Linked DNA regions of Diceros bicornis minor. The protein of the gene in region 1 interacts with the protein of each later gene in a pairwise test. Links are inferred from orthologs where the notes say so. Each region holds a gene or a part of one and is shown in the gene's direction. Other genes may lie near its edges.

Region 1 (7,385 bases):
ATCTCTCCTCTCTTCCTGTCTCTCTGGGCCTCCTCCCCTCTGTCTCCTGCGTGTTTCTGTCTCTGTCCCTTTTGGTTTCTTCCTGTGTCGCTGTCTCTCTCTAACTCTCTCTCTCTGCTGTGTTTCTTTCTCTCCGTGCCTGTCTCTGCCATCTCTGTGTCTTTCGTCCTTTGTCTCTCGCTCCAGGTTGGGTGGAGAAGGAAACCTACTACTGACCTCAACCCACCACATCGCCCGCCTCTTCCCTGCTCCCCCAGCCCAGGACAGCCCCCTCCAGTGTCCCCCATTTTGTATTCGGGGGGAGGGGCCCTCTCTCCCAGTGGCCCCACCTTTGCCTCACCCCTCAAATTATCTCCTGCCTCCCTTCCTCTCCCCCTCTGGCTGGCTTCTCCCTCCCACCCCACCCCCTGCCTCTCTCTTCTCTCTTTTCTGTGTCTCTGTTCCTCTCCCTCTCCTCACCCCTACCTCCCAGCCCCCTCCCTGGGCTCTTTTTTACTCCTTCTCAGCCCCTGGCTGATGCCATCTCTGGTTCTGGACAATTATCAAATATATCAGTGGGGAGAGAGAGGCGGTGTGTCGTGTTTGCTTTCTGAAGCGGGGGTGTGGGCAGGATGGCGTCCCCTGTGCTGGCACACACGGCCGGGTGATTCACACGATCCCAGGAATGTCGCCTGGCACGGGCTTGGCAGTCACAGAATCTCGGAGTCATCGAATCTTGGAATTTTAGACTCACGAAAGTTAGAGTGGAAGCAGCTTGAATTCGCCAGGTGATGGGATTATGGGATCAGAACAGGGGAGAGGGAGGGAGTCAGATCCTCTCACGTTGGAGTAGGACCCCAGGGAGACAATGACAGTGACCATGATGATGATGGTGAGTCACTGAGCGCCCAGTCTGTGCTCTGCTCTCTCTTGAACACTCTATGTGTATTAGCTCTTTTAATCGTTACAAGATGGGAGGCACAGAGAGGGAAAGTGACTTGCTCAAGGTCACACAGCTGAAAGGTGACAAATCCGGGATTTGAACCTAGGCTGTCCAAGCTCTAAGTCACTGTGTTATTCTCTCTTTCTATTGAGAAAAACTTTCATACAGTGAAGTGCACAAGTCTTAAGGGCACAGCTCAATGACTTTAAAAATTACATCCATGTAATCAGCACCCAGATCAAAGTAAAGAACATGTCCATCCATCCAGAAAGTTCCCTCCTGTCCCTTTCCAGTCAGCACCACCCCCCTCAGAGGGAACCACTGATATGATTTCTGTCACCATCCTTTAGTTGTGCCTGTTCTTGGACTTCACATAAATGAAATCTTACAGCATTTTGTCTCATGTGTCTGGCTTCTTGTCCTCAACATCACGTCTGTGATAGTCATTCATGTTACTGCATATATCAGTAACCCATTCTTTTTCATTGCTGCGTAGTATTCCATTGTGTGACTATAGCACAATTTGTTCATTCATTTTCCTGTTGGTGGACATTTAGGTTGTTTCCACTTTGGGGGCCATGACAATTGGTGCTGCTAGGAATAAGAACATTCTAGTAATGTCTTCTGATGATACGTGTATGCATCTCTGTTGGGTACATGCCTAGAAGTGGCATTGCTGGTCAGGGGATGGACTATGTTTAGCTTTAATAGAAACAGCCAGACTCTTTCCAAAGCTCTTGTGTCATTCTGCATTCCTACAGTGTATGAAAATTCCATTTGCTCCATATCCTCGCCAACACTTGGTATTATCAGTCTTTTGAATTTTAGCCATTCGGGTTGGGCAGCTATACCACTTCCCTTGAGGCAGCCTTTCTAACACAGCCCAGAGAAGTGAGTCAGAGGAAGGCCTGGGGCTGGACCTGGCCTGCCTACCTCCCTGCACAGATGTCTGGGATGCTGAGAGCTTGTGTGTGAATGAGTGTGTGCATATGCCCATTGCATTAGGGAGGAGCACCCAAACCTGAGGGGGGAAGGCTGTCAGAAGGCAGGAGCCACGTGCACCAGATATGCTCTTGATGCCCAGGACAGAGCCTGGTCCTAGTAGGGGTTTCATGAGCCTGGACCTCTCCTAGGGAGGCCACAGAAACTACTTTATCAGGTGCAGGGAAAGAAATACCATAGAGGTGGGCAAACTGAGGCCCAGAAACGGCAGAGACTTCCTTGAGGTCACATAGCAGGAATATAACCCAGGTTTCTGATTGTCTATGCTAAGGTCTTCCCACCCTTCCAGCTCCACTTCTCTGGGGATCCTCAAGCTGGAGGGACCACAGGGCCAGAGCTCATCTCCCACAGTCTTCTCAGGTGTCCCCTGCCACCATCCCCCCGTCTCAGGGATCCTCCTATCTCTCACAATATCTCTGCCTGAGGGTCCCCTCTCCCATAATCCCTGTTTCAAGGGGCTCCTCTCCCACAATGCCCTGTGCCAAGGCCCCACCTCCCAAAATCCCCTGAGTCAAAGTTCCCCCCATGTCCTTCTCAGAGGGACCCTCCCCACAATGTCCTTACCTCTGGACCCCACTGCCCACAACTCATGCTGTTCGACACCTCCAGCCCTTTGCCCATTATGTCCTCTGCTCGGAACAAGTCCTGGTAGGTTATGGAGTGAAACTGCTTTGATTGAGTTCCTATAAGGAAACCCAATGGCTCTCATAGCAAAAGTCAAACCCCCAATTTCCAAGGTTGGCCATGGAGGAGGCAAATGGACTTCTGCCTCCAACTCTCTGCTCCCCAAGATTTGTCTTCCTCTTGGGGCCTCTTCTGGTTCCCTCTGCTGCCCCCATCACTCTGAACTCAGTTAATGCTGCTCCCCCATTAACGCTCTGAGCTAACTGCACTCACCACCCTCCTTTGATTTCATGATGCCAGGCGAGACCCAAGAGGGAAACGTGAACAAGATTCTACTAAAAGGCTGACTCTGACAAAGGGGAAATAAAGAGTAACTCGCCAATCTGATCTTCAAAGTGTGGCTCATTCAGCTTCAGCTTGGGACCCCCACAGGGGGCCTCCCCGCCTATTGCTCCACCAGCCCCTTTGGCAGGGCCGTCTTCCCCACCTCCAGCAGGCCTCAAAGCCCAAACCCAAAAGGGATGTTGGGAGAGTTGGGGTTGAGTCATTTGGATATCCCATGTGGATATTCTCCTTCAGCCCCACTCAGCCTTGGAAAATTAGGACCTCAGTCCACGTAAGGGAGCCCAGGCTTCCCGACACTTCCACCCACATTCTTGGGGCCCTGTTCTGGTGCACTCCTTAAGAACTCCAGCTGTTTTCCCACAACTAACTCAGGGGCAGGGGCAAAGACTGAGAGAGAACTACAGCTGTGGGAAGTGGGGAAAAGAAAGCCCTAGGCCTGTGATGCCAGCCACTCTTTGGGACATCCAAGGGGCCAGCAGCTCCTAATATGTTACTGTTAAATTTGAGAAGCCTGAACTCTAGAAATAATCATAACATTCATGATTATGTAGTGGCAATAACATTGACTACCATTTATTGAGCAGTTATAAAGCATCAAGACTCTTTTAAACACTTTACATGGACCATTTAACTGAATCATCAACCTCATGAGTGTGGTACCATCAGGATCCATCCCCACTGTCCCGATGAAGATACTGAGGTTCAAGGAGGTGATGAGATCATCAGCCTGGATTTTCACCTGACTCCAGAGTCCCAGCTCTTTTAATTATAACAACTCTCTTCAAAAAATTCTCAATCCTTTCCGTTTCCCAACTTCCCTCCTTCCCATTCAAACGGGGGAGTCCCTAGGTCTTTAGTCCTAACCCATTCATCCTTGGCAGCCCAAGGGTTGTGCGGGCAGCTTTGCTCCCCACCTCAGATACCCGCTCCAGCAACCATGGCCCTCTCACAAGCCTCTGTCTCTTGAGGAAGAAAGGAAGGAACAGATTCTCGCGAATTCTCTACAGTCTCCCTTCTCAAAATGTGGTCCAGAGGTCAGCAGCTTCAGTATCACCTAGGAACTTGTTACAAATGCAGATTAATGGGCCCCACCCCAGACCTGCTGAATCAGAACATCTGTTTTATCAAACCTTCCAGCTGTTTTTATGCACTTTAGAGTCAGAACGACAGCTCTACACGGTTCCCATTGTATCCTGCACGGGAGAGAGTACACAACGTCTACTTCCGCCTTCAGAGTTCCCATAATGCCTCGATTCTGGACAATCCACCGTCCCCCTACTCCACATACGCCGCTTCTGCAACTACAATTCCCACAATGCCCAGAGGCGCTCACCGGCGCTTTATGCGACAGCATCTCCGAAGGTGTTTTGTGAGCCATCATGGCGCCCACCCTGCCGGACAGCATCAGGACTACAATTCCCACAATGCTCAACGCAGAACTACCGCCCCAAGCGGCTCCCGAGCGGCGCCACGTCGGCTCAGCTGGGTGAGGCCGGGCTCGGGCGGGGCCGGCAGGGTCCGCAGGGCCCGGGGCTCGTTACAGCGGTTCTACCCCTCACCACGCAGACATGGCGGCCGAGAGGGACCAGCAGAAGGATGCCGAGGCGGAAGGGCTGAGCGCCGCGTGAGCAAGCCGGCTGTAGCCCCCTGTAGCCCCCCTGACCGACACTCGGGAGTTCTGGCCCCCGCCCCCTCCTCCCTCGGGCCCCAGGAATCCCGGCCCCCAGACACAGGAGTCCAGGCCCCTGGTCTACTCTTCGGGGACTCTGAAGTCTGGGCCCTCAGCCCCCTTTTGCCCTAGGGTTTAGGAGTCTTAGACCCTTCGCCCGCAGGACCCCAGAGCCCGCCCCCCGCAGCCCCCATCTTGCTCATGAGTCCGGGCTCCCTCCCGGTCCGCCGCTGACCCGGTTCCGCCCACCAGGACCCTGCTGCCGAAACTGATCCCGTCCGGCGTAGGCCGTGAGTGGCTGGAGCGGCGCCGCGCGACCATCCGGCCCTGGGGCTCCTTCGTGGACCAGCGGCGCTTCTCGCGGCCCCGCAACCTGGGCGAGCTGTGCCAGCGCCTCGTGCGCAACGTGGAGTACTACCAGAGCAACTACGTCTTCGTGTTCCTGGGCCTCATCGTATACTGCGTGTGAGTGCCTCTCCGCCCCGCCCTCGCCCTCGCCCTCGCCCCCCGCCCGCCAGGCCCGCCCCACCGAGAGCTCTGGCCGCACTGCTCGGCCCCGCCCCCCGGACGGCTCCGCCAGACCTTTTCACCGAAGGGCCAGGTCCCTACTTCCCCATCAGCCTGGCTGGGACGCACTGTGACCTAACATGACCTAGACTTGCCTGGCCTCAAGGACATAGCCTGTCATCCGCTGGTGTAGACAATCGGGTTCCCTGGCTGGCCCAGCCCCAGCTGCCTGACCGATGCCTCCCTGCCCTTCTCCAGGGTGACGTCCCCTATGCTGCTGGTGGCTCTGGCCGTCTTCTTTGGCGCCTGTTACATCCTCTATCTGCGCACGTTGCAGTCCAAGTTTGTGCTTTTTGGTGAGAGCTCCCTTGCCCAGATGGATCCCTGACGCCTCAAATCCTGGTCTCTTGGAAGGAAAGCCTTAAACCCCAAACCTGTCTGCCCAAGCCTAGATCTACACTAGGTCCCCCAAACCCGATCCCTTAAAATCTCAGACACACCAGGTGCTCCCACCCAGTTTCAGCCCCCCAAATTGCTGTTCCCCAGACCCAGAATGAGATGCCCCAAAACTCACTCTGCACCTATCTCCTGTCCCTTAAAGCTAGCTTCCCCTCTCTCTCCTCCGTCACTTGTGGAAGGCATCAGCTGCAGGTACCCACGTTGGACACCAGGTGGTGATCTTACACTGGCCTAGATCTGTCCCCTGCCTCTGTCCTGCTTCTGGGATGAGACCAGAAAGATCTTGGGACTTCGCAGAGAGGGAAGCTGAGGCTTTTGGCTCTTGTGGTCCCAGACTAGCACCAAGCACCATTGGGAAGAAAGGCCTGAGTCCCCACGCAGGGGAAGCTCAAGGTTTAGAGTAAGGACAGGGAAGAGCTAGGATCAGACAAACAGGGAGACTTGAGACCGAGTTCTTCAGGGGCCTGCAAGTCATGCACATGACAAAGGTGGGCTGGGTGGAGGGACATGTGGGACAAGCACAGGGCATGGAAGGAGCGCCTGGAAAGCACAGCTGTGACTTGGCTTCAGCCACTGCTGCTGCTGGGGTGTGCAGACCTGTCTTCCAGTCTGCCACGAGAAGCCAGAAATCTGTATTGTTATGTGAAGTCATTCAGTTTCTCTGTCAGCCACAAATCAGATTCTTGTGGAACATTGTGCAGACTCAAAAAATACATCCACAGGTCAGACTTGGCCCTTGGGCCACCAGTTTGAGATTCCTGGTCTACCTGAGTGCAGGTTGGAGCAGGAGAGCTCTCATCTGGGGGAGTGGGAGGCTGGGAGCTTCCTAGCAGAAGTGGGGTTGCAGGGCAGAGGGCAGGGGGCTCAGGGAGGTGTGCTCTATGCTGGCAGACAGTGGGGACATTGGAGACGTGGGTGGGGCCAGGACTTCCTTGGCATAAGGAATTTGGATTAGATCCAAATTCTAATCCAGGATTAGCTCCTGGAGCTCGTGACACCAGCCTGTTTGGGGGGCATCAGGGGTGACTGGGAGAGGGCCCGAGTGCCGGAACAGCATGCCCCTATGCCGTCTGCCCCTCAGGCCGAGAGGTGAGCCCAGCCCATCAGTACGCTCTGGCAGGGGCCGTCTCCTTCCCCTTCTTCTGGCTGGCTGGCGCGGGCTCTGCCGTCTTCTGGGTCCTGGGTGAGTACAGGGTCTGGGTGGGCGGTGGGAGCCAGGTGAGAGAGCATGTCCCTAAACTGCCCACTTTCCTGCAGGAGCCACCCTCGTGGTCATTGGCTCCCATGCCGCCTTCCACCTGACGGAGGCCGTAGACGGGGAAGAGCTGCAGATGGAGCCTGTGTGAGGTGTCTTCGAGGATCTGCCAGCCTTCCAAGCCAGCCGCCCCATCCCTGTCCAGCCCTGTCCCGCGCGGCTCTTTTGCTCCGGCCAAAGGCCCCCTTCTCGTCACAAGCCCAGGGAGGGACTCCGGCTTTGGAAATAAAACCGTTACAGTTGTCATTCAGCAAATATTCTCCCAGGGTCCTCTGTGGGTGTGTGCGGAGTGATGCTGGGGATACTGCAGAGACTAAAAGAGAGGGGGCCTGGGTGGAGGAGGGGGGAGACAGTAAGCAAGATAAATAACTAAAATATCATAGGATGGCCGATGGTGATAAGTACCCCGGAGAAGAAAAGGTGTGTTGGGGGGTCCCTGAGACCACCCCCGTGTTCGATGATTTGCTGAGAGGACTCGGCTCAGTATACAGTTGTGCTCACAGCTGTCATTTATTAGCCTGAAAGGTTAGGAAGCAAAATCTGCCAAGAGAAGAGGCACGTTGGGAAGTCCAGAGGACCCAGGGGAGCTCCCCAGAGTCCTC
Region 2 (6,889 bases), on another chromosome or scaffold:
GTAACCACTGACCAGGACCGAAAGGTCATCCAGCTTGAAGATGTCATCGGGGACTCCGGAATTCTTCAGGCTGTTGGCTCGAGCCACGATGGCCTGGGGATAAACCACAAGAGTCGGTGACTCCCAGCTTCCACCCCCATGAAGGAACAGAGAGATCAGGGAGGGACACTTCCTCAGGAAGATCACCGGAGGCCAGGCCGGAGTGCTCTCCTCCCCTGGCCTTTGCTCATAGTCCCTCCACCTGGCGAGCTCTTGCTATCCTCCCTATGAGCTCCTATTCCCATCTCAAAGCCCAGCTCAAATGTGCCCCAGAGCCCAGCAGAGGGTCCTCAGGGAACCTTTTCTGATCGAACAATCCCTATTCTTCCCAATTCCAGAGGGCAAGATAGGGGTGCAGCTCTGAGTGAGGGTTTCTACACAGAGGGAGAAAGTTGAGCCAAAGAGAAATCAAAGTGTGGACCAAGCACAAGTCTGTTCTCTCTCCCTGTCGGGCTGAAACCTTCTCATGCTACAGATGTGCAGAGAGTACATGCAGGATGGCTGAGGGGAGAGAAGACAGGCCAGGGGGCAGTGCCATGACTGCAAGTGACAACAAGACTAACGGTAGCCGCCACTGTTGACACTCTTTCAGCCCTAACGCCTGTGTGGTGCCATGCTGCTCCCTCACAGAGGACACGGCTAAACCCTCCCCAGAAAGGGAAAGGACTTGTCCAAGGTCACATAGGCGGGAAGGGGTAGAGCTCAGATTTGAACTTGGGCAGCCTGAGTCCAGAAGCTGTGCCCTTAACATCTCGGGGCTCCAACCTTGGATGGGAATGACTCTTGCTGTGGCCTGAAGGGTCTGGGACAGGGGCCTGTTGTTTTGGGACGTCAGAGGCTCCATGGAGGGCAGTGGTAAGCAGACCACCTTGACTGCGTCCCCCACCAGCCAAACCCCACCATACCCCAGCGCTACCACTGCCTGGCCATGTGACCTCAGGCAAGTGACCTGCCTCTGTGGCCAAGTGTCCTCATCTGTGAACTTAGTGGAGGCCAGGATTATATGAAAAAACCCTCATGGAATAGTTGGCACACTGCTCAGCTGGTGTCAGCTGTTATTATTGTAGCTGTTGTCCAAAATGGGTGGGATTTTGGATTTTTAACCGTTTTCCCCATGGGTGACTTAACATAGGGCATCACTGTTATCCTCTCCCCTTAGGAGCAGACCCCTGAGCCTCACACACTGATGGCAGAGGTGCTGGTCCAGCCTGGGGTCTGGCCCTGCCCTCATGCCCCTGGCTGGGCTCCAGCCCCCACTCCCGAGCTTGGCGAGCACTCACCCGCAGTGACGGCAGGCTGGACAGCTCCCCATGAAGCGTGGTCAGGTTGTTGTGACTCACGGATAAGTGCTCCTGGGCCAGGACAGGGGAGCGGAGGCTCAGCAGGGCGGGTAGGGTGTCTACAGAGTCCCACCACAACCTTCACCACCCAGGGCCCTCAGCCACACAGGCCCAGTCCACCTCTGCAGCCTCCCTCCCTCACAGACCGTCTCCACTCGCACATCCCCAGGGACAGGGTACCACTTCCCCTCTGCCAGCTCTGCTCGTGGCCGTCAACGTCTTCCTCTACGTCGTCAGCCTTCTGCACAGGCTCTGCCCCCCTGGCCCAGCCCCATACACAGGGACTCTCCCTGCCCACCCAAAGCCCCTTACCAGCTTCTGAAGGGCAGCCAGCTCCTCCGGCAGGTAGCAGAGGCCGGTGCGGTTCAGCTTCAGCCATCGCAGACTGGTCATGGCCTTGACGTTCTCAGGGAAGTAGCCACCCTGGGAGGTGTGTCACGGTGAGGCTGGTCTGGGAGAGGGGCAGCCCTGCTCTACCACCCTCTGCGGCCCCCACTGCCCATGGGAGCCTTTACGAAGCAACAGAGCCACCTCACACCAGCTGTGTGACCCTGGACAACTCTGTGCCTCAGTTTCCTCACCATAAAATAGGGCTAATAAAAGCCCCCTCAGGACTAAAGTGTTGTGAGGACCAACGAATTATCAGGATGGCTGGCGGCCAAAGATCTGTCTCTGCGGCTGGATTCTGAGCCTCAGGAGGCCAGGACGGAGCTGGCTTGTTCCAGGTGACATCCCCACACCCAGCTATGTGGTTACCTCAGCTCAAACGCCTTCGCCTGGCATTCCCGGCCCTGCCTGGGCTGCCTGGGGTGAGGGTACCCCCTGAGGCCCTACCAAGGCCCTACCTGCACCACCACCACCACCACCCTCCCCCCGCCATCAGCACATAAGCCATCTGTAGTCAGGTCCAGACCCCCCTGTGCCCCAGCCTGCACGGGTCTGCCTCGATCATTCGTTCATTCGTTATTCAATTCCTCACACTCAAATGCCCACCTCAGTATCCCAGCCCTAAAGGCAGGGAGCCGCGGGCAGCACGTGCCTTCAGTGCCCTTGGCTGGTGTCCCCTTCCCCCTATGGCCACATTCCTGGCTGATAACTCAGACTCTTCCAGTCTAGAAAGGCCACATGGAGACCCCAGGCGACAGTGGCAGGAACTGGGGCCCAGGAAAGCGGTGTGGCGGCCTGTGCATGCGGTCAAAGGTGTGTGCACATGTGGGTAAATGCAGGAAGGACCTGCCTGCTTCCCTGGCCCTGGCCAGACCTCTGACCCCAGCCAAAGCCTAGGTCCCCTGACCCTGCAGACCCAGGCTGACACTACAATGACCCCAGCCGGAGTCTGCCCAGCCACCCATGCTGCAGCCCCAGCCGACCCTCCCAGGACCAGGCCAGCTCTCACCTCCACTCCTACCCTGCCTCCTCCCTGGTCACCAGCACTGCCCACCTCGTTCCTGGCTCTCTACAACTGCCCACCCACTCGCTGGAAGGCTGGGCTCCGGTTCCTGTGGCCCTGGTCTGTCAGTCCACAGCTGCTCAGACAACTGCCACCCAGGGCCTCAAACACCTGCCCGACACACTCTCCATAGCAACTAATCCAGGCCGCCAAGAGGACGACTTTAAAGCCCCTTCACCGGATGAGAAAACTGAGGCTCGAGAGGGGAAGTGACTTGCTCAAGACCACAGAGGATGGAGGTGGCGGCGGCGGGGACAGGGCAGAGATGAGTCGGCTCCAGACCCGCCCTGGGGACAGCCAGGGGCACGGCTGTGAGTCAGAGCCTGGTCTGGGCGTGTGACCTCAGAGGGGTGGGGAAGGAGGGCCAGGGAGGAGGACAGGCTCGCGACCCCCGAGTCGCTCTCTGGCCCAGGCGGGGCCCACACCCCAGGAAGGGACACGAGGTGGGGGCCCGGCCCACCCCCTAGCGTGACCCCGAGCCCAGGCGTCCGCGCCGGCCCCGCCCGGCCGCGGTCTTCCCGAGCGGCACTGGCGGGGGCCTCGGAGGCCCGTTCGCGGGGCCTGGGCCCGGGAGCGCCCCACCCCGGTCGCCCGCAGTCCCGGCGGCCAGGCTCTGAGGCGGGCGGGGCAGGAAGCGGAGAGCCGCGCGGGCGCAGCGGCAGGGACGGCCCGGAGGGTCCGGGCCGCCGGCTCACCTTGAAGTCGTTGCCGCTGAGGTCCACGCCGCGCACGAAAGGCAGCACCCCGGTGGCCTCCATGGCGCCGCTCTCGCTGCGGGGCGCGGGCGCGGGCGCGGGGGACAGCCGCGGGCTGGGCCAGCGCCGCCCCGCCCCTCAGCGCGCCCCGCCCGGCCGGCGCGAAGGCGGAGCCCGGCGCTCCGCGGGAGGCGGGGACCCGCCGCGCCCTGGGCCTCTGCGGCCTCTGCTTCCCCGTGTGCTGGGTGACTGGAGGGGCCCCGGGGAGGCCGGGCGCCCCGGTGCTTGCGCAGGAGGACTCAGCGCCTCCAGGCCGGGTCCCCGTGCCGCACGGCGGGGTGTGTCCCGGGCCCTGCGGGTCCAGGTGCTGCCCCCTGCGTTGCTGGAGCAGCTGCAGTGGGCGTGACCGCGGGAGGGATTCTGGACTCAGTCCCGGGGGCGCAGGGACCCGGAAAGTCTCTCTCTGCCGCTGGGCCCTACATGGCGACCAGTGGTGGGAGGACGCCTGGGCCCTTGGGTCCTAGAGCCCGCGGCAAGCCCCAGGCCTCCTCCTGCCTCAGTTTCCTCATCTGTGAAATGCGTCTTAAGGTGGTTGTCAGGAACAAATGAACAAACGCACGGGTGGCTAGAGGCATACAGCAGGCGCTGAATAAGTGGCGCGTTATCATTCCCGCTTAGAGTCAACACCCCGTCCCTGTCCGCTCATTTATTTGCTTGCTGGCCCCCTTGGCCGGCACATAACAGGCCCCAATAAATAATTGCCGGATGAGCCACAACATGCTTCGCAGGGGTGGGGGGTCTGGGGTCCCCATTTCGCAGGAGAAAAAACCGAGGCCCGGGTGAAGTGGCCCACACAAGGTCACACGGAGCAGGCGGCACGGGTAGACCCTGAGTCATGTCGTGTGCCCCGCGGGCCAACAGGTAAGAACAATGGGGCCATCAAGGCCCTCTCGCAGAGGTGACCTCAAGGATCAGTCAGACGTGCGGGCCTCAGGGCCAGGTGCCGCCTGTCTGCCCGGGCCCCGGAAGGAACGTGAGCCCGGACAGCTTTCTCTACACCGGAGGCTCACATTACAAGCGCACACGCGTCACAACGGGTCCTGGGGGCTGGCTTCTTCCGCAGCCGGCCATACAGCTCATACCACCAGCCAGGCGGGTCGCAGGCTCGGAAGGGGGCCTGCGCCTGTAAATTCAGAGTGCATCGGAAGTCTCGCCCCCAATGGAGCGCGCAAACCGGTGAGGGGGCGTGGTCCTCCCACCATTGGCTGAGCTGCGGAGTATTTTGGAACGTGAGCGCGGGCCTCGAGCGCTCCGATTGGAGCTAGGGCCTGCTCGTCTGCGTGCCTCGGCGTCAGCGCCCGCCCCCGGGGCCTCGGAGTTCGGTTCCCGGGTCCTCCACGTTCCATTTCCAGGCAGGTCCGGGGTCCCGGGTCCGAGCAGGCCCGCTGCGTCCGCCGGTCGGTGCGCTGAAGCCGCGACGCAGGTACGGCCGGAGCGCGGCGGGGCGGCCCGGTCATCCAGCCGCGGGCGTGGCGCGTGCCCCGGACGCAGGTCGGGGGCGTGGCCTCCGCCGGGGCCCGCGGTCCCGGCCCGGGAAGGAGGGGAGGGCTCTGGGCCCCAGGCCTGAGTTCTGATCCGCCTCTGCCTCTTCCCGTCTTGGGTATGTCACTTCACTTCCCAGGGCCGCCGTGTCCCCCCGTAAAGGGGGCCCTGACATGCCCACGCAGGGCCGCTGCGCGGCTGCTCAGCCCCGGCCCTGGGTTTGGCGGAGGAGGGGAGGACAGGAGGCGTCCCAGGGCGCTGTGGGGCCCGGCTGCGCAGAGTCGGGTTATTTTTAACCCGCGCCCTCTCCCCCTTCCCAGCGTTGGAAGGCTGCGGGTTGGGGCCTGCACAACCCCGCCAGGGGTGGGCTGAGTCCCGAGTTAGACAGGTGGAGGTATTTAAAGCGCTTGACAGTTTGCGAAGTGGACTCCTGGTCCCGCTGGAGGCAGGTGGCAGTATTGATCATCGATGAGGAAACTGAAGCTGGTTGCAGGGTCATGCTGGGTCACCCGGCTAGCCTTTGACCAACTCAGGCCCTCTTGTCCTATTTTTAGTATGGGCGAATGGGGGCGGGTGTTGGGGCTGAGACCTGCAGTGCTTCAGGCTTCAGCTGCTCCAGGCATCTGGTCACCTGGTACCTGAGCCCCGGGCACCCACAGCCGAGCAGGGAGGCCAGAAGTCCTCGGTGCCCTAGCTGGCTCTGAGCTCACGGTCATCTGCTCAGGCGTTCTCATGGAGACAGTTGTGCCTGGTATCTGACTGGTCCCTTGAGTGTGCCCCTTGGTCACACTTCCTCCGCTCTCAGGGCTTGAGGGTAGGGGTCCCCCTGGAAGAACCTGAGGCTGGGGCTTGGTGGACTGGGCCCCAGGACAGATCTCTGCTTCCGCTGCCCCAGAGCTCGGCCCCACACAGCCCCACACTTCTGGGCTCCGCACTTGTAACCCTTCCTCACCGCAGCCTCTGCCATTTTACAGGTGAGCAAACAGCTGGGGTTTCGGGCCCTCAGCTTACCTTCTCTGTTGCTTGGTCTCTCAGCAGCTGAGGCCACGCCCCCACTCCCCTCACACTGTCCGGAGCCTCAGAGGCCCCCATCCAGGGTACTGTGCGGGTCCTCTGTTTGGAGTCTTGTCTTTAGCGGTACCTTGCTCGCTGCCCCCCCAGCGGGGACTTCAGCCTTGACTGACACATACTCTTGACAGGCAGCTCCTGGGCGCCCCCCCTGCCCCAGGTCATCGTGGGCTATCTGACTCATCCTGTCCTTTGACTTGGTAGCTCTGCCTCTGGGGGCTGCCCTTTCGAGATGTGGAGGATAGCTGTGGCTCCGTGAGCTTCACCAAGGTCCCCCCAAAGGTCTGAGAGGCCCTCCAGGGCAGGCTGTCTGGGACCCCCAGCTATGGTCTTCTCTGGGCCTTGGTTTCCTCCTCCTGTCCCCAGCCCTGGTTAGGAACTGGGAGGACACAGCCGCTAGGACCTGACCACAGGCCCAGGGGCCTGATCGGACTGGGGGTGGGTGAGAGTCTGGACGCTCTGAGACCCCCCCACTCACCGTGTGGTTTGGGAACCTGTTTCTCTGTAAAAGGGGGTGGGGGTGACAAGACCCACCTCGCGGTCTTTGGTGATGTTAAGGGTCCTTGAGGGTGGGATGGGGGGGATGGGCACCCTTCTCTGACCTGCCACAGGACCCAGGGCCTTTCTCTGCAAGACCCCCTTTCCAGGGGTGAGTGGGTTGTTTGCAGGTTTGGGTGAGGGGTCTTGGGCAGCTCCCCATTTCCTCCAAAGAAACCCTGCGAATGGCCCCTGTCTCCTGAGGAGTTCTCAGGAAC
Region 3 (6,984 bases), on another chromosome or scaffold:
TCTGTGCTAATCCTCCTCTTTTTGCTGAGGAAGACCGGCTCTGAGCTAACACCTATTGCCAATCCTCCTCTTTTTTCTCCCCCAAAGCCCTAGTAGATAGCTGTATGTCATAGTTGCACATCCTTCTAGTTGCTGTATGTGGGACGTGGCCTCAGCGTGGCCGGAGAAGCGGTGCGTTGGTGCACGCCGGGGATCCAAACCGGGGCCGCCAGTAGTGGAGCGCGTGCACTTAACTGCTAAGCCACGGGGCCAGCCCTGTATTTGTTTCTTTATCTACGAAATGGAAGTTGTACCTATTTTGCAAGGATTGCCGTGAAGAATAGAAATACTATACATAATTCACTTAGCACAGTGCCTGGAACACAGTAGGTTCTCAATACCGTTATTATTAGCTAACATTTATTGAGTGCTAGCCGTGTTTCTAAGGACTGCCCCTGAACTATCTTATTTTATTTTTACAATAACCCTGGGAGGAAGGTACTATTATTGACCCTCATTTTTCCAGAATGTTAAATAGCTAATAGTGGTAGAGCTAGAGTTCACACTCCAGTAGCCTAACACCAATCTGTGGCCTGAACCACTTTCCCACCCGGCGTGTATTTGCAAATGTTTGTATCCTGATCAAGGAATTTAATGTGCTAGGCTTTGGTGCTCAGAAACAAAGAAACAAAAGCATCTGTTAATTGAGTGCCCATTATATGCAGGCACTATGCTAGGCAATTCCAAAAAGATTTTCTCATTTTAGTTACTATTTAATCACTGTCTTTATTACCTCTAAGAATTCATAAAGTCTTCTAGAACCCTACAGATAGAAGCTGCTTTATTTTTTAGTATAATAGTGCAGCTCTTGTTTCCCAGGATTCTTTATTGCAGCTCTTCTTCCAGAAGGTAGATTATTGCATTGTTATTTACAGCAGAAACACTAATGAGATGCTAGGTTGGCAGATGATACAAAAGATGAAGTACCTTTGCTTAGGAACTCTTATTTTAAAAAGTTAATGATGGACAAACGAAGATTAACTTATCCAAGAAGTTCAAATACTGTTTCCATAAAGAGGCAGTTTTGTGTGCAGGCTACTTTTTTAAAGTTTGATTGGAAGGGAGAGGCAGTGAAGGGATTATCAGAGAAGAGCAGCTTTGAGGAAAAGCTATTGTAAAGATTCTGTACTACATCTCTTATAAATATATAGAATCTAAAATCTTAGACTGGAAAGAACTTAGAGATCATTTAGTCTAACCATGGACTCATTTTACAGAGAAGGAAACCACACCTTGAGAGAGAAGATGTCTTGCCCAAAGATAGAACTTAAGTTTCTTAACTCCTGGATGATAATAAATTATTAATTACAAATAACTGCATATAACTTGTTTGATAGGACTTTTAGGTAGCAAGCTATAGAACAGTCATGTCAACATCTTTCTTGGGCAGTTCCAAAATCTCCACTCTGGGTCTGACCCCTATAATCCAGTGTGGTATGTATTTCACACAGACTGGGTCTGGCAATAAGGAAATAGCATTCATTTTCAATCTCGGGGCTCAGCATAATTCGATATATAACATTGCAGCCAATTGTACCCAGGGAAGCTTTAAAAGGATGGTATTCCAAGAATTGGTATTAGTGTGAAAAACCAAATGTTTTATTCCTCTTTCATTTTTTCATACATCCATTGTTTCTGGGGGTAAAATAGGTGGGTCAAGCAGAAGGAGGCACTCTAAGTGGAGGGAAGAGCATACACAAACTAGGTTTGAGACCTCAGAGGGTGTTTGGGGCCCTTCCAGAGAGCCAGACCTGCTCTAGTATGTGCACCTTGGACTTTAGCTTGAAGTCAGTGGGGAGCTACTGAAGGATTTAGAGAGAGTTTAATTATTTTTTTTATAACATAATAATATATGAATACATTCTTATATAAATTCAAACACTAAATCTAGAGCCAAAGTTCTCCTTCACTGCCCCTTCCATTCTCCAGGTTCTCCTCAGAGGTAAGCACTATTCTGTTTGGTGTGTATACATGCATAAGAGAGATATCTAGGATTATCTTGCATGTGTGTTTTAAAACAAATATTATCCTGTCAAAAGATCAATTAGAGGGATAGAGCTTGTGTTTCAGCAATTCTTAGAACCAGCTAGCCATCTGTTTACTTTGGTGTTCAGAGTATTTTGTGAACATTCCAGTTTTCAAGTGTGATTCTTACACAGGGATTGGTGCTGTGGGAACCATATGGCAGACCCCAAACACGACAGATGCAAACCCTCACAGCCAAATCCACGAGGTCTGCCTGCACTGTGGCCTGCTCTGGGTCAAAAGTTTGCTCCCTGCAGTTGTGCAATCATAGGACAGCTGGAATTCATGGATATTAAATGTTCCTTGTTCAGATTAGGGAATAGACAATGTGTTTGCCATGTGTTATGGAACAACTGAGGATCCAAACATGACCACAGGGTCCTTTTCTAAGGGAAACATGTAGAATCTCAAAAGGGTTTGATCTTTTACATTGTAATAAAAGTATACATGTAACAAAACATATCTACATAGTGAAATGGTTTTTCATTATCCACAGTCAAGTTAAAAATTACTATTACCAAACTAACCAAATAAGGACTTCTAATATATTTGGGCATACCGATAGCTTAAGTCTATGCTAGGGTACTGGTTGAATCCCTCTGTTGCCTTTGCTCTAAACTAAATTTCCCAGCCCGCTTAGGGAGAGAGATAAATAATGTGATCAGCACCCATAATGGGTTTTACATACAACCAGTGATTTGCCAGTTATTCCATTCATTAAACTATTCCAAAGTTTTGAGAAAAAGCCCCAAGGTTAAAAATCTTCTGTGGAAACATGCTCTATACACCTATATGGCACTTTTAATAAAAGACCACTTCCTGTGACTGACTCAAAATTTCAAAAGAGGTGAATGGGGGGGTGGGGGGTGAGAATCTGTTACTGTTTGGAAATGCATTTGGGATTTGTCTAATTCTAGATGGGGACCTAAGGCTCCCGAGCCACAGGGCAGAGGTCATGACTAAGGACGCAATTTACTGGAATTCTCCCCTGACCTTGATCCCATAACAGTTGCCTGGGTAAGGGCAAAATCCAAAGGCCTTTAAACAGGGTACAAGTTTCTCCTAATACAGATTAGGGAGAGGATCATTCAGCAGGACCTTGTTGCAGGATCACTAAAAACTTCAAACAAGGAGATTTACCTATTAGTCAATCTTATCATACATTCTTTCAGCAAACCTGCATATTTTACTGAAAAAGAGAGTCGCGACATCTGCAACACCTTGTTTAAGAATAATTATTATAAATATATTAATATTCTCCATCCCTTTAAGGGAAAGTGATAAAGGAGCTAGGGGCTCGGTGGGAGCTGTTCCTGGAAATCCCCCAGAACGTCAGCAAAAGTCTTGAAACGGAGGTGGGAGCGTTACAGTGGAGGACTATGGAGGGCGTCTGTAGTTGTGCCAAAGGAAAATAACCTTGCCAAGAAAAGAGTATACAAAACCTTGTTCACCAAAGCCTGGAACCCAAAGAGGTCCCCTCAAAGCTTTACACGGCGGAGAGAAACCTGCTTCCTCGAAGAGGAGAGAACTGAAGGCTGACGCACGTCCCAAGGGGCCAGGCGCCCCCTCCTTCCACTCCCATAACCTCTCCCTCCGTGCTCAAATCAGACAGGGGACCTGGAGCTGACCCACAGGCAATTCGGACCTCCTCCCCGAGACCGCCGCCACCGCCAGAACCACGCCGGCTCCCCAATCCTCCGCATATCGCAGGATGAAGCGAGAGCGCCGGGAGTCTCTCGGCTGGGTCTTCCACCCGCCCCGTCGCCGTGGTGACCGCCGGAGACACGCAGTCCCGCCCCTTCCTCACGACGTGGCCCCGCCCCCTTCAAACCCGGAAGCGCGAGGCCGGCGGCCGCTGAACTAACAATTCGGGAGGAGAGAGCGCGGCCGCCCAGGCTCGCTTGGCCGCGCGCCCCGCCCCCCGGAGGCCGGCCTCTCAGCGGGCCCCCACTGCTCTCTGCGCCTGCGGGGCGTGTGGGCTCTGGCCCGGGGGCCCCCACCCGGGCCCAGCCAACCCCACGGCCGGTGCCTGTACTGGAGGGAAGAGCCTCCTTGAGGAGGAGGGAAAGGGACGTGAGGGCGGACACGGCAGGTGAGGAGTGGAACCAGGCCCTGGGAAGTGGGGGTGTGGATGTGTGATGTGTATGGAGTTGCAGGTAGGTGTGTATGTAGTGTACGTGGCTGCCTCTGTCCGTGTCGCTTTGTGAGTGTGGACTCGAGTGGACCGGTGCGTGTGACCATGCACGTGATCTCCTGTCCCTCTGTATGTGTGTGTGTGTGTCTGAGGTCGAGTAGTACATGGGGGTGGTCGGTGTGCCTGTGACCCTGCCTTTGTGTGCTGTCATCGGTGGGACTGGGTGAGGGTGGGGGTCTTATGTGTGGGTCGCCTGCGGGTGGGGGGAGGGGGCTTGACCAGGGCATCCTCCTGTAGTCCCATTCTCTGGCTAGGCAGCTGCAGCCCAGGAACATGTTTTTCAGTTAACTTTGAAGAACTCTGTGCAGAGGCCAGTTATTTTGGAGATTGCACCTCAGCCTGAAAGTGACAGATGTCTTTGTCATTGCTGAGTATGGGCCAGGTGTGAGGCTTGTGAATGAGGGATGAGGAAAGTAGCAGGTCAGGAGTCTCACTTTTCCTCTTCTCCTTTTCCTGGGGAGTTTTAAGTTCTGCATTTATGCTGCTGCTTTGTCTCCACCTACAATGTTCTAGCTCCTGTTGGCACAAAGATTCAAGAGACTGAGGAGTAACTTAATAGCTGTGTGCAAATTTCCAAAAGCTTTTATACCAAGACAGAGCACAAGATGAGGTGTCACAGAAGAAATGTCAAGTAGGCAGCTTTTCCTCCCATGAAGTTTAGAAGATAATGGAATAAGTTCCTGAAGAAAAGAGGGATAAATCTTCCCCTGAAGAGATCTAAAAAAAGGATAGCTATGTCCTAGTGTGGTGAGGTCTGGAGACTTGCATTGAAAAGCCAATTGCATGGCCTAGAGACTCTTAGGTCCTCATATTTTGTTATTGCTGGTATTAATAATAATCACAGATTGTCCATATGTGGATCAAATACAGATTGAGATAAAGGATCAGAAACCTCTGACTAGTTAAGCTGGTTATGTGACTTAAACATTTGTAAAGGCGATTTCATTGACTATAAACTGGCAGGTTCTGTTGAAACCCTGAAGGATAAGTGCATATAATTCTTGGTGCATACTCACAGCTGGCAGTTTCATTGTTGAGCAGTACAAGGGCTGAGAGGACTGGGTATGCAAAGCACTCCCCAAGGAGGGGTTTCCTTAGGCAAGATTAAGGCTAATCTCTGCGGCCCTTTTCCCACCAGCATGAACAGGTGATTTCGTGAAGAATTGAATTGTGAGAGATCAAATCAGTGTTGAGCTCATGGTCCACATTCTTTCCTATTTAATGCTGACTGGTTTGGTCGCAATCTCAGTTAACCTTTTTTGCCACATACAGAATGTTTCTGTTGTGACTTGGAAAAGTATACCCCGTTAGTGGATGAAAGAGAGCTAGGAGAACAAAATTTCTTTTCATACTGCTCACAGCTGCTTTCCCTTTGCAGCACTGAGCTTTTTTTCTCTTCAACGTCAGTTGGTCAGATGCGACATTTGGTTTCTATCTGACCTTTCATGTACTGCCAAACTAGCACAAGTGTTAAAATCACTTGCCTCTACAAACATTTAGTCACAGTCGGGTGGAATCTCTCCATCCAGCAAGATTAGTTATAAAATGTTATAACACCAGGGTGGTTGTGAACAATACTGAGGACTGCGGTAAGGAACGTCTTTCTGTTTATTGCTATGGGAAGAAGTGGATGACAGTGAATTTGTGTGCCTGTGTATGATGTGTATTTCTGTTGTAGTTTGGTTTGTACATTGCAACTCATTCCAAACTATGAATGATTAATTTTATCCCAAGTTTGGCGAATCTAGAAGCAAACTTTCTGGCTTTAGTTAGCTAAGGTGCTTTATAAATCTATTGAGTAGATTTTATTTGCTAAACATGTTTTTGATATTTCCTCCTGTACAATAGAGTAATTGTTTATAGTAATGCAGTACTAGAAAATGTTGCCATTAGGCAGTAGTTAGATGATATAGGAATATTTCAAGTCTATCCAGATAGAAAATATTCCAGAATTAACTATATGTGCTAGTTGCTTTCAATTAAAAGTGATAACCAGCGTAGAGAAAGGTTATATAGTTCAAATGGCTTAGATTTTTTAACATGTTAATATTTGGTAAGAGAAAATGGATATGCAAAGAGTGACTTTCTTTATTTCAGTATAATAATAACTACATCTGTGCACACTGATTTTCAGCATAAGACTGGCTGATGATTTTCTTGGTGCTTGAGAGCAACTTATGATTTTAACAAACTTTTCTAAAAGTACCATCTTAGTCTTGAGAGAAGAGACCATTATTACAATGTCAAGGTTGTTAATCAAGTTTAATATTGGATGTCTACATTTGCCATCTCCTTAGGGTTCAGTTTAGTAACCCCCCAAAAGGTTAGAGGTAACAATTGAGACTGCTGAGTGCCTTTTGTTCTTGAGGGAGCAGATCTGGAGGGCGGGGGAGGAAGAGTTCCACTGGGTTTAGAATCCCCTGTTCCTGGCCGGTCCAGAGAAGCCCCTCTAAAAGGACAGCTCAGAGAAAGCCCAGGAGTTAAATCCTAGAGTCTCGAACTCATCCTAGCTCTCCCAGGAAATCCAGGCTTGCCCTGGGGTAGAGGGAAGGACGCAATGCAAGTATTTGAATCCTTCCAGACCAGTGGGTGGAAGTTCCTCATTTGGCAATAAGAATCTGCAAGAGGGAACTATAATTTCAGGTTCCTGTTATGACCTAACGTGGATGCCTGAGCAAAGAGGGGCAGCCTCTAAATTAAAGATACTCAGCCAGTCCAGTGCTCAT
Region 4 (7,783 bases), on another chromosome or scaffold:
ACTCCCAGCCCAGCGGGCACCTTGTTCTAACTTAGACCACTGCCTCCTGTCATAAACATGCAAAAGTTTGTCTTCCAGATAAGTGCCAGTTAACAAGCCCAGGTGGCCTAGTCACATGGACCAACCCCCTTAACATTCCTCAATGCCTTTTCCTCAGCACACCCCAGCTCTTAAAAAGTCTATCTTTCGTTTCAGTGACATTGAGTTCAGTTCACACTGGGCCCTCTTCTCTACTGCAAGTTATTACTGAATGAAATCTATCCTCACAGCTTTAACTAGTGTCTGGCTTTGTCTATCTTTGACAGTCTTCCGTCTTTTGTGCTGATTCAGAAGGACAGACGGACAATTTCTGGTAGTTCTAGTACTTCCACACGAGGGCAGCTTTAACCCTGACCTTGAACCACATAGCACTGTCTACCTTCCTCCTTCTCTACCCCACTCCAGGCCCCTTGTCCCCTGTTTTCTGCCTTGCTGGGCCTTGGTTCCCATGCTGGCAGGGAAACTGGATATCTCTGGGTCACTTTTAGCTCCTCCCTTCCCTCACGCCTTCAGATTCTATCTCCTCCTCTCTGGAATCTCCTCTCCTTTCCATTCTTTATGCAACTGCCCTAGGTCAGGACACATCATCTTTTGCCTAAATGAATCTAGTTACCTTTTTTTTTTGTGAAGAAGATCAGCCCTGAGCTAACATCCATGCCAATCCTCCTCTTTTTGCTGAGGAAGACTGGCCCTGGGCTAACATCCGCACCCATCTTCCTCCACCTTATATGGGACACCGCCACAGCATGGCCTGACAAGCGGTGCATCGGTGTGCGCCCGGCATCCGAACCAGGGCGGCCAGGAGTGGAGCGCGTGCACTTAACCGCTAAGCCACGGGGCCGGCCCCCTCTAGTTACCTTTTAACTAATTTCTCTACCTCCAGTCTCCACAGAACTCCAAAGTGCTCCTTTTAAACCACTGAGCTGAACACCTCACTCTCCTTCTCAGAACTTTTCTTGACTCTCTGCTGCTACGGAATCAAGTTGAAACTCCTTAGCAGGCATTTGGGGCTCCCCATGATCTCACCTTAACCTAAACATCTCCCAACTCATCTCCCATGGAACCTCTGTTCACTATTCCTTAAACACATGGATATCTTCACACTTCTAGGGTTATGCTCACATTCTTTTGTCATTCTAGGATAAATGGCTCCCTCTCCCCCATTTCTGCCAATGATCAAAATTTTATTCTTTTTCAAGGCCTAATTCAAATACCGTCTCCTTCATGAAAGCACTCTCAACGGTTTGAATTGGAATTATTTCCCTCCTCTGTACTTCTACCTTGTTCATTTTTTTTTTTTTTTTTTTTTTGTGAGGAGATCAGCCCTGAGCTAACATCCGCCAATCCTCCTCTTATTTTTTTGCTGAGGAAGACGGCCCTGGGCTAACATCTGTGCCCATCTTCCTCCACTTTATATGGGACGCCGCCACAGCATGGCTTGCCAAGCAGTGCGTCGGTGCGCGCCCAGGATCCGAACCAGCGAACCCCGGGCCGCCGCAGCGGAGCGCGCGCACTTAACCGCTTGCGCCACCGGGCCGGCCCCTACCTTGTTCATTTTTTAATGTCAGGTTCATAATTGAGGTAAAATTTATATACAGTTAAATTCACTCCTTTTAGGAGTATAGTTCTGAGTTTTCACAAGCATATACAGTTGAGTAACTAACCACCACCACAATGAACATATAGAGTATTTCCATCAAACCAAAAAGTTCCCTTGTGTCTCTTTGTAGACAATTCTCTCCTCCCATTCCTAGTTCTTGGCAATCACTGAATTTATTACTGTCCTTATACACCTCATATCATTTTAATTTATTTTTGCATTTTCCCATATAGGTCTTGTTTGTGGACACATCTTTCTCTCACTGGGTTGTAGTCTCCTTGCAGACAGAAAGTTGTAATTATTCACCTTTGTATTTCTCATGGTTCCAAGAACAAGTTCCAAACACATTTATTATGTGCCAGGTCATAAATATTTGATTTAAAGAAAAGGGAAGATGGGGCCAGACTGGTGGCGTAGTGGTTAAGTCTGCGTGCTCCGCTTCAGCGGCCCGGGGTTCGTGGGTTTGGATCCTTGGCGTGGACACTGCTAGTCAAGCCATGCTGTGGCGGTGTCCCATATACAAAGTAGAGGAAGAGTGGCACAGATGTTAGCTCGGGGACAATCTTCCTCACCACCCCCCCCCAAAAAAAAAGGAAGAAAAGGAAAAGGAAAGAAGGAAGGAAGGAAAGAAGGGAGGGAAGGAGGGAGGGAGGGAGGGAGGAAGGAAGGAAGGAAGAAAGGAAGGAAGGAAGCCAAAGGACAGATGGACAAACAGCCCTAGGAGAGTTTTGATTCAACGATAGGGCAGCCAACAAGGCTCGTGGTAGTTTAATAAATTATTCTGAGTTATTAATCTGAACTATAAAAGTAGCTGCTCTTAAACACCTAAACATAAAAAAATATATTAAAGTTTGAATCAGCAAAACTGACACTTGAAGTTTGGGAAGGAAGTCTTAATATAAATAACATATGAGTTGTAGTCCGGGGTAGAAAACAAACACCCGCCACCCGCAAGCTAGGCTGCCTCTGATCTTCTTGCATATTACAGCACCATAACTAAGACACAAGGCGGAGAAGTTAAGGGAAGGAGAAAGGTAATTAGCCTTTACCAAGTGCCCCAAAAGTCATAGTATTATATGCTTTATAATCTGTTTTATTTAATTCTTACAACCACTCTCTCACTTGAGTTATAAGTTATTAGGAGGTAATTCTTTGTTGGGAAAGGAAATACGTAATTAGAGGAAGTTTAGGGGTATACCTCCAAGGGCAGGGACAGGTTAAAAATTGTAGTTTTGGCTCAGGATGAGTTCTTTGGAGATTTTCTGAGTGTTTCTTCTGTGAAATCACAACAAGCAGGAAAGGACAAAAGTCCAGGGTAATACACACTTTTCGATGTCTATCATCGATCCATTCAAGGTGCTTCACCGTGGTGTGGTGACCCCGCTCATTTCAGAAGCCAACATGATGTGAAGGAACTCTACTGTACTGTTTGATGAAGTTGTCAACCAAGGCACATGGTGGAATTTGGGGGTTAAGGGGTGTAGTTAGTAAATGGGTAGCAATAAGAACTGCCTTCTTTCCATATTTTGGCATCACGGGAATTTAAAGTGATTTTGCAATCACTCTTGGGAGATAATTTTCTTGGTTCTTAGAAAAAGTTGGAAGATAAACTTTGGACAATGTATTATACTATGCCCTTTGTAATTAAATAACCCAAGATAATGTGTTAAAGTTTAGTGGAGATTTAAATTCCTGAGCTGATTAAAGAGAGCTGTTTAGACCATAAGGTTTTAAAAAATGTTATGTTCATATTACTCCTGGAGTTTCTAGGCATTATATAGTGATGAATCACACATTTCTATCGTTTATTACTTTCCAATCTTGCAGAACAGCTCAGTATTAAATATCAACTAAAAATAAGTACAATTCATGGGCCAGCCCCTGGCTTAGCGGTTAAGTGCGTGAGCTCCACTGCTGGCGGCCCTGGTCCGGCCTGGGCACGCATCGACGCACCGCTGCTCCAGCCACGCTGAGGCCGCGTCCCACATACAGCAACTAGAAGGATGTGCAGCTATGACATACAACTATCTACTGGGGCTTTGGAGGAAAAAAATAAATAAAAATTATAAAAATAAGTACAATTCAACTTGAAGGCTGGGACCAGGGCAGGAAGACCTCGAATTTTTGACTGACTCTGGGCTGTGTTCCGTGGACGGAAAGTGGAGCCATTGAAAGTTGTGGGGTCGTGATGACAATGCTGTTTCAGGAAGATCAATCTGCCTGTGTGTGCAAATGGCCGGGGGCAGAGAGGAAAAAGAGGCAGTTAGCCCACTCAAAGGATACTGCAATACTGGGCTGAGGCGATAAGAGCAGGGCTGGAAAGAGAGCGGTAAGAAATCAAAAAAGAAAATGGTACTGCCTGCGGCCAACACTGGCCGACGACCGGACCCAGTGGGGCTGGGTGAGTGAGGAAGAGAACTGAAAGAATGGCTTCATATTATCCAGAGACTCCCAAGAATGGCTTCATATTATCCAGAGACTCCCAAGTTTTCAGCCCAGGCCCCTGACTCCTCTTCCGTCCTTAGAGCGGACGTCCTGGTACCAGCCGCTAAGCTCAAGCCTCAAGCTGGCCAGACCAGCAAAAGGCCCACGGGAGGCAGGACCGGCCAGGAGTGTCCTCCAGCCCCACTTGCTTCCAGACCTCCGCATTCATGCCGTCCCTCCGGCACAGCTCCCTCTGTCCCCAGCCCTCGGAGCCCCCTGATCTCCCCCCACCCCTACTCTCCCTCGGCGGCTGGCACCGCCCTCTGCCCCTCCCTTCCCCCCTCCCCCGTGGGGCGCTGACTCGCCCGGCTGCCACGTCTCACTGATGACATCACCAGGGCCGCTCGGCCTTAGCCAATCCGCTAGGGGGAGTCCGAGCGAAGTCCTAGCCAGCGAGTCAGCGGGGAGGGGAGCTGGGAGGGGCGAAGGGGGTGGTGAGAGAGTGGGGAATGGGGCGGGCGACAACCCCTCAAGTACGCATGCACCAGAGGCGCGGGGCTTGGCGGGAAATGGAGTCCCGGCCGTCGCGCCGCACCGTCTGTCCCAAGAGCCGACAGCCACGCTCACAACTCTCTTTCCCGGCATGCCACGCGGTGCGACCGCCCTCTGGGCTCTGTAAAGACCCCCTCGGTCTAAGGCTTTCCTATTTCCTGGTTCGCCGGCGGCCATTTTGGGTGGAAGCGATAGCTGAGTGGCGGCGGCTGCTGATTGTGTTCTAAGGGGACGGAGTTGGGGAAGACGTTTGCTCTCCCGGAACAGCCTATCTTATTCCTCTCCTTTGGTTACCCGTGGTGCAGAGAGTCAGGGCGGCGGCTGCAGCAGCAAGGGCGGCGGTGGCGGCGGCGGCAGCTGCAGTGACATGTCCAGCATGAATCCCGAATAGTGAGTGCAGGAGAGCACCGGTCGGCTGGGTCGGTGGGCCACCTTGGGAAAGCTTAAAGGGGGCGAGGAGGGCTGGGGCGGGAGTAGGGGCCTCGGCCGGGATGAGGTGAGGGTGATGGGGTAGGAGAGGCTGGCGGCCGGGAGTCAGGCCCCATTGTCTGAGGGAGGAGGTGCGGCCGGGGGAGGGGTCGGGCCGGAGGGGTGAGTCACCTGGGCCTGGACCGGGTCAGTTTGGAGGGCCTGAGTGCGGGCCCGGGGCAGAGGAACAGTCTGCTGCGGGGTTGGGGCTTTTGGGAGTCGGTAGTGAGGTGATGGGAAGAGGCAGCTTCTCTTGGAGGCAGTGACTTTTGAAGGAGGACTTGTTTTTAAGGGGAGGGGAGAGGGTGGGAGAGCACTCCTAGAGGGCACTGTCAGTCTCTGCTCCCGCACTCTGCGGAGCTGTCAGAATCGTCGGGGTGGAAACCAGCTTCACTTGTAAATCCTGAGCTTGTTGGCTCTCTTTCCTTCCATTCTCCCCGCCAGATTGCAGGTAATATGGATGCTTTTCAGGACTGCGGGGGATTGAGGGGAATGAGTAGATGGCGAGAAGCAATTTAAAATGTTTAGTTCTCTTTTTGAATTATTTCCTGGAGTTCTTTGAGAACTCGCCAGGCCCGTTGCCTTCCTAAAAACCTGGGCATTTGTGAGAATTTTTTATAGAGGACACTGAAGTCATTTTGTCTAGTGGAGGTCAAGAGAAAAAAAAATAGAACTAAAACGTAGGAACACTTTTCTGATAGTATCACCAAATTAAAGGAAGACTTTGCTGTGAAGTTGGCAGAGAAACGAATGGACCCCATGATAGATCTGTAGGTTTTGGATTACCTACTTGAATGCTTGCAGATAGGGAATGAGGTTCCATGACGTGTCATGAAAAGTTAATGCATTTCTTTTTCTTGCTTACTCAAGAAGTCACTACAGCAGATGTGATATACCTGGCACCTTTCCTAGGAACTGGGGTTCACTTTCCCTGGGAAGACTTTGTTGAGCTCTCCTTAATGGCCCTTTAAAAAAATCCCCCTACTGTTTGCATATATAAATTAATGAATAATTAGAGGAGATTTAACTGGTATTCTACTACAGTGTCAGAAGGCTTTGGGGGAGAGGGGGAATTTTTTTAAAGCATAAAATCAGTATTTGTCCTGAAAGTTGAGTTTATTTGCTGCTTTGGTCAATTACTGCTAAACATTTCCTCTAAAAGATCCACCCATGAGTTTAGCTGACTGTCATGTGTGTGTCACATGGCTCTTGCAAAATGCACTCTGACTTTGTTTTGTAATACTGTGGTTGGATGCTGAAATGTCCCCTTTTGTACTAAACAGAAGCTATAGTATTTTATTAAAATTTTATATACTTGAAGAAGTTGAGGATAGTATTCTAATAGTGCCATATTTGCTATCTTGGCAGTTTTGTATTTCTTTGTCAAGGGCTCCAAGAACAAAATTGGTTTTGCATAGTTGGGCAGAGTTGAACTTGGGGTCCCTAATTTAGTAGTTTTCCTGGCAACAGTCAAGTACGTGGATGTGCTACTTTATGGAGGTTTGTAAACCTCTTCTGTTCAGGGAGTTTCTTATATTTGCTACATATATTTAGTATTGTACATAGATCTTGAGGATTAATTGAACAGGACTTACGACAAATTATTTAGCCTCTGAATTTGTTTCTCCTTTTGTAAAATAAGGTAGTAGGAGTCGTTATTCCTCTCAGGGTAGTTGTGAGGTTCAAGTGTTTGTAAAAGAATTTAGAAAACTATAAGAGCACTCTAGGTTTTGTATGTCATGTAAGACATTCTAGTAGTGCTAGGATTTAGGAATATAATCCTTACCCTCAAGGAGCTTATAATGGAATATAGAAAGTAGACTGTATATAGATCAAATACCAGTAGATATAGCAAGTTCCACATGTGCAGCATGGATTGGAGCAACAAGATTTCAAAGGAGGGTGGAGGGTTGTGGTTGGCTAGTTGGGTTCAGGAAAACTTTATAGAAAAGATACCTGTAAGAGAATTACTAGCAATGGATTTGGAGAAGCAGAAGGGAGTGAGGAGGATCTTTCAAGGGGGAAGAAGGAAGAAGAATGATTAATAAATGGCAAGGATAGTAATTCTTAAGTAAATACAGTGCCAAACCACCCTTTCGTTTGAGGATTCTAGATTAATGACCTCAACAGAATCAAACCCAGAATCATTTTTATATTTTTTCTGGCATGGAGTATGCCAGTACCTGGGCTACTGTATTTATATTCTAGACTGTGTCTGGTAAAATAATCTAGGAATTTGGGAAAACCTTTGGAAAAGCGTTAGTGAAAATTACTTGAGATGAGAGGAGGTGATGGATATTTTATTTGGGAAGGTCACAGGGGCAACCAGCAGGCAGATTTTTAGCCATCTGACTTCAGCAGTTTCTTCTTTTTGTCTTTAATGAAGCTTGTTACCATAATAAAAGTAATTAGAGAAAAATTGGAAAATAGAGAAAAGAAGGAAAGAAATTCTTAGGTTTTATCACCCAAATATAAGTCCATTTAACACCTTGTTCTAAACTTTAAAATCTTATATTTTTCTTAAATTAAAACTTTTAATGAGTGAGTACCTTTCCATGATTCCATGATGTTGTCTTCGTAGCTAACATTTATAGCCACTTATCATAAGCCAGGTATAATATTATATGTTGTAATACATGTGTATTATAGCATACACATTTATATGCTAATGCAAAAGAATAGTATACTAGCTAATATTTA

What was found.
Region 2: the proteins of RABAC1 (region 1) and MIEF2 interact in binary tests that used the Homo sapiens proteins (3 or more experiments, as listed by UniProt). The two-hybrid records come from large-scale screens. The link is inferred for Diceros bicornis minor from reciprocal best matches to the Homo sapiens genes RABAC1 and MIEF2.
Region 3: the proteins of RABAC1 (region 1) and SPG21 interact in binary tests that used the Homo sapiens proteins (3 or more experiments, as listed by UniProt). The two-hybrid records come from large-scale screens. The link is inferred for Diceros bicornis minor from reciprocal best matches to the Homo sapiens genes RABAC1 and SPG21.
Region 4: the proteins of RABAC1 (region 1) and RAB1A interact in a two-hybrid assay, tested with the Homo sapiens proteins (2 studies listed by BioGRID and IntAct). The link is inferred for Diceros bicornis minor from reciprocal best matches to the Homo sapiens genes RABAC1 and RAB1A.

Annotation. Positions count from the first base shown.
Region 1 is NC_080773.1:17,246,884-17,254,268, forward strand, and holds RABAC1 (prenylated Rab acceptor protein 1), read left to right. Parts: upstream 1-4,371; 5' UTR 4,372-4,461; coding exon 4,462-4,517; intron 4,518-4,814; coding exon 4,815-5,027; intron 5,028-5,327; coding exon 5,328-5,425; intron 5,426-6,609; coding exon 6,610-6,711; intron 6,712-6,785; coding exon 6,786-6,874; 3' UTR 6,875-7,038; downstream 7,039-7,385. Other genes in the region: ATP1A3 (sodium/potassium-transporting ATPase subunit alpha-3), read left to right, coding at 187-215. UniProt on the Homo sapiens protein: General Rab protein regulator required for vesicle formation from the Golgi complex. May control vesicle docking and fusion by mediating the action of Rab GTPases to the SNARE complexes.
Region 2 is NC_080757.1:1,614,369-1,621,257, forward strand, and holds the start of MIEF2 (mitochondrial dynamics protein MID49), read left to right. Parts: upstream 1-3,877; 5' UTR 3,878-5,007; intron 5,008-5,071; exon of another isoform or gene 5,072-5,184; intron 5,185-5,961; 5' UTR 5,962-6,040; intron 6,041-6,889. Other genes in the region: FLII (protein flightless-1 homolog), read right to left, coding at 13-93, 1,320-1,391, 1,692-1,802, 3,525-3,587. UniProt on the Homo sapiens protein: Mitochondrial outer membrane protein involved in the regulation of mitochondrial organization.
Region 3 is NC_080744.1:59,337,293-59,344,276, reverse strand, and holds the start of SPG21 (maspardin), read left to right. Parts: upstream 1-3,965; 5' UTR 3,966-4,156; intron 4,157-6,984. UniProt on the Homo sapiens protein: May play a role as a negative regulatory factor in CD4-dependent T-cell activation.
Region 4 is NC_080751.1:22,658,706-22,666,488, forward strand, and holds the start of RAB1A (ras-related protein Rab-1A), read left to right. Parts: upstream 1-4,777; 5' UTR 4,778-4,982; coding exon 4,983-5,005; intron 5,006-7,783. UniProt on the Homo sapiens protein: The small GTPases Rab are key regulators of intracellular membrane trafficking, from the formation of transport vesicles to their fusion with membranes.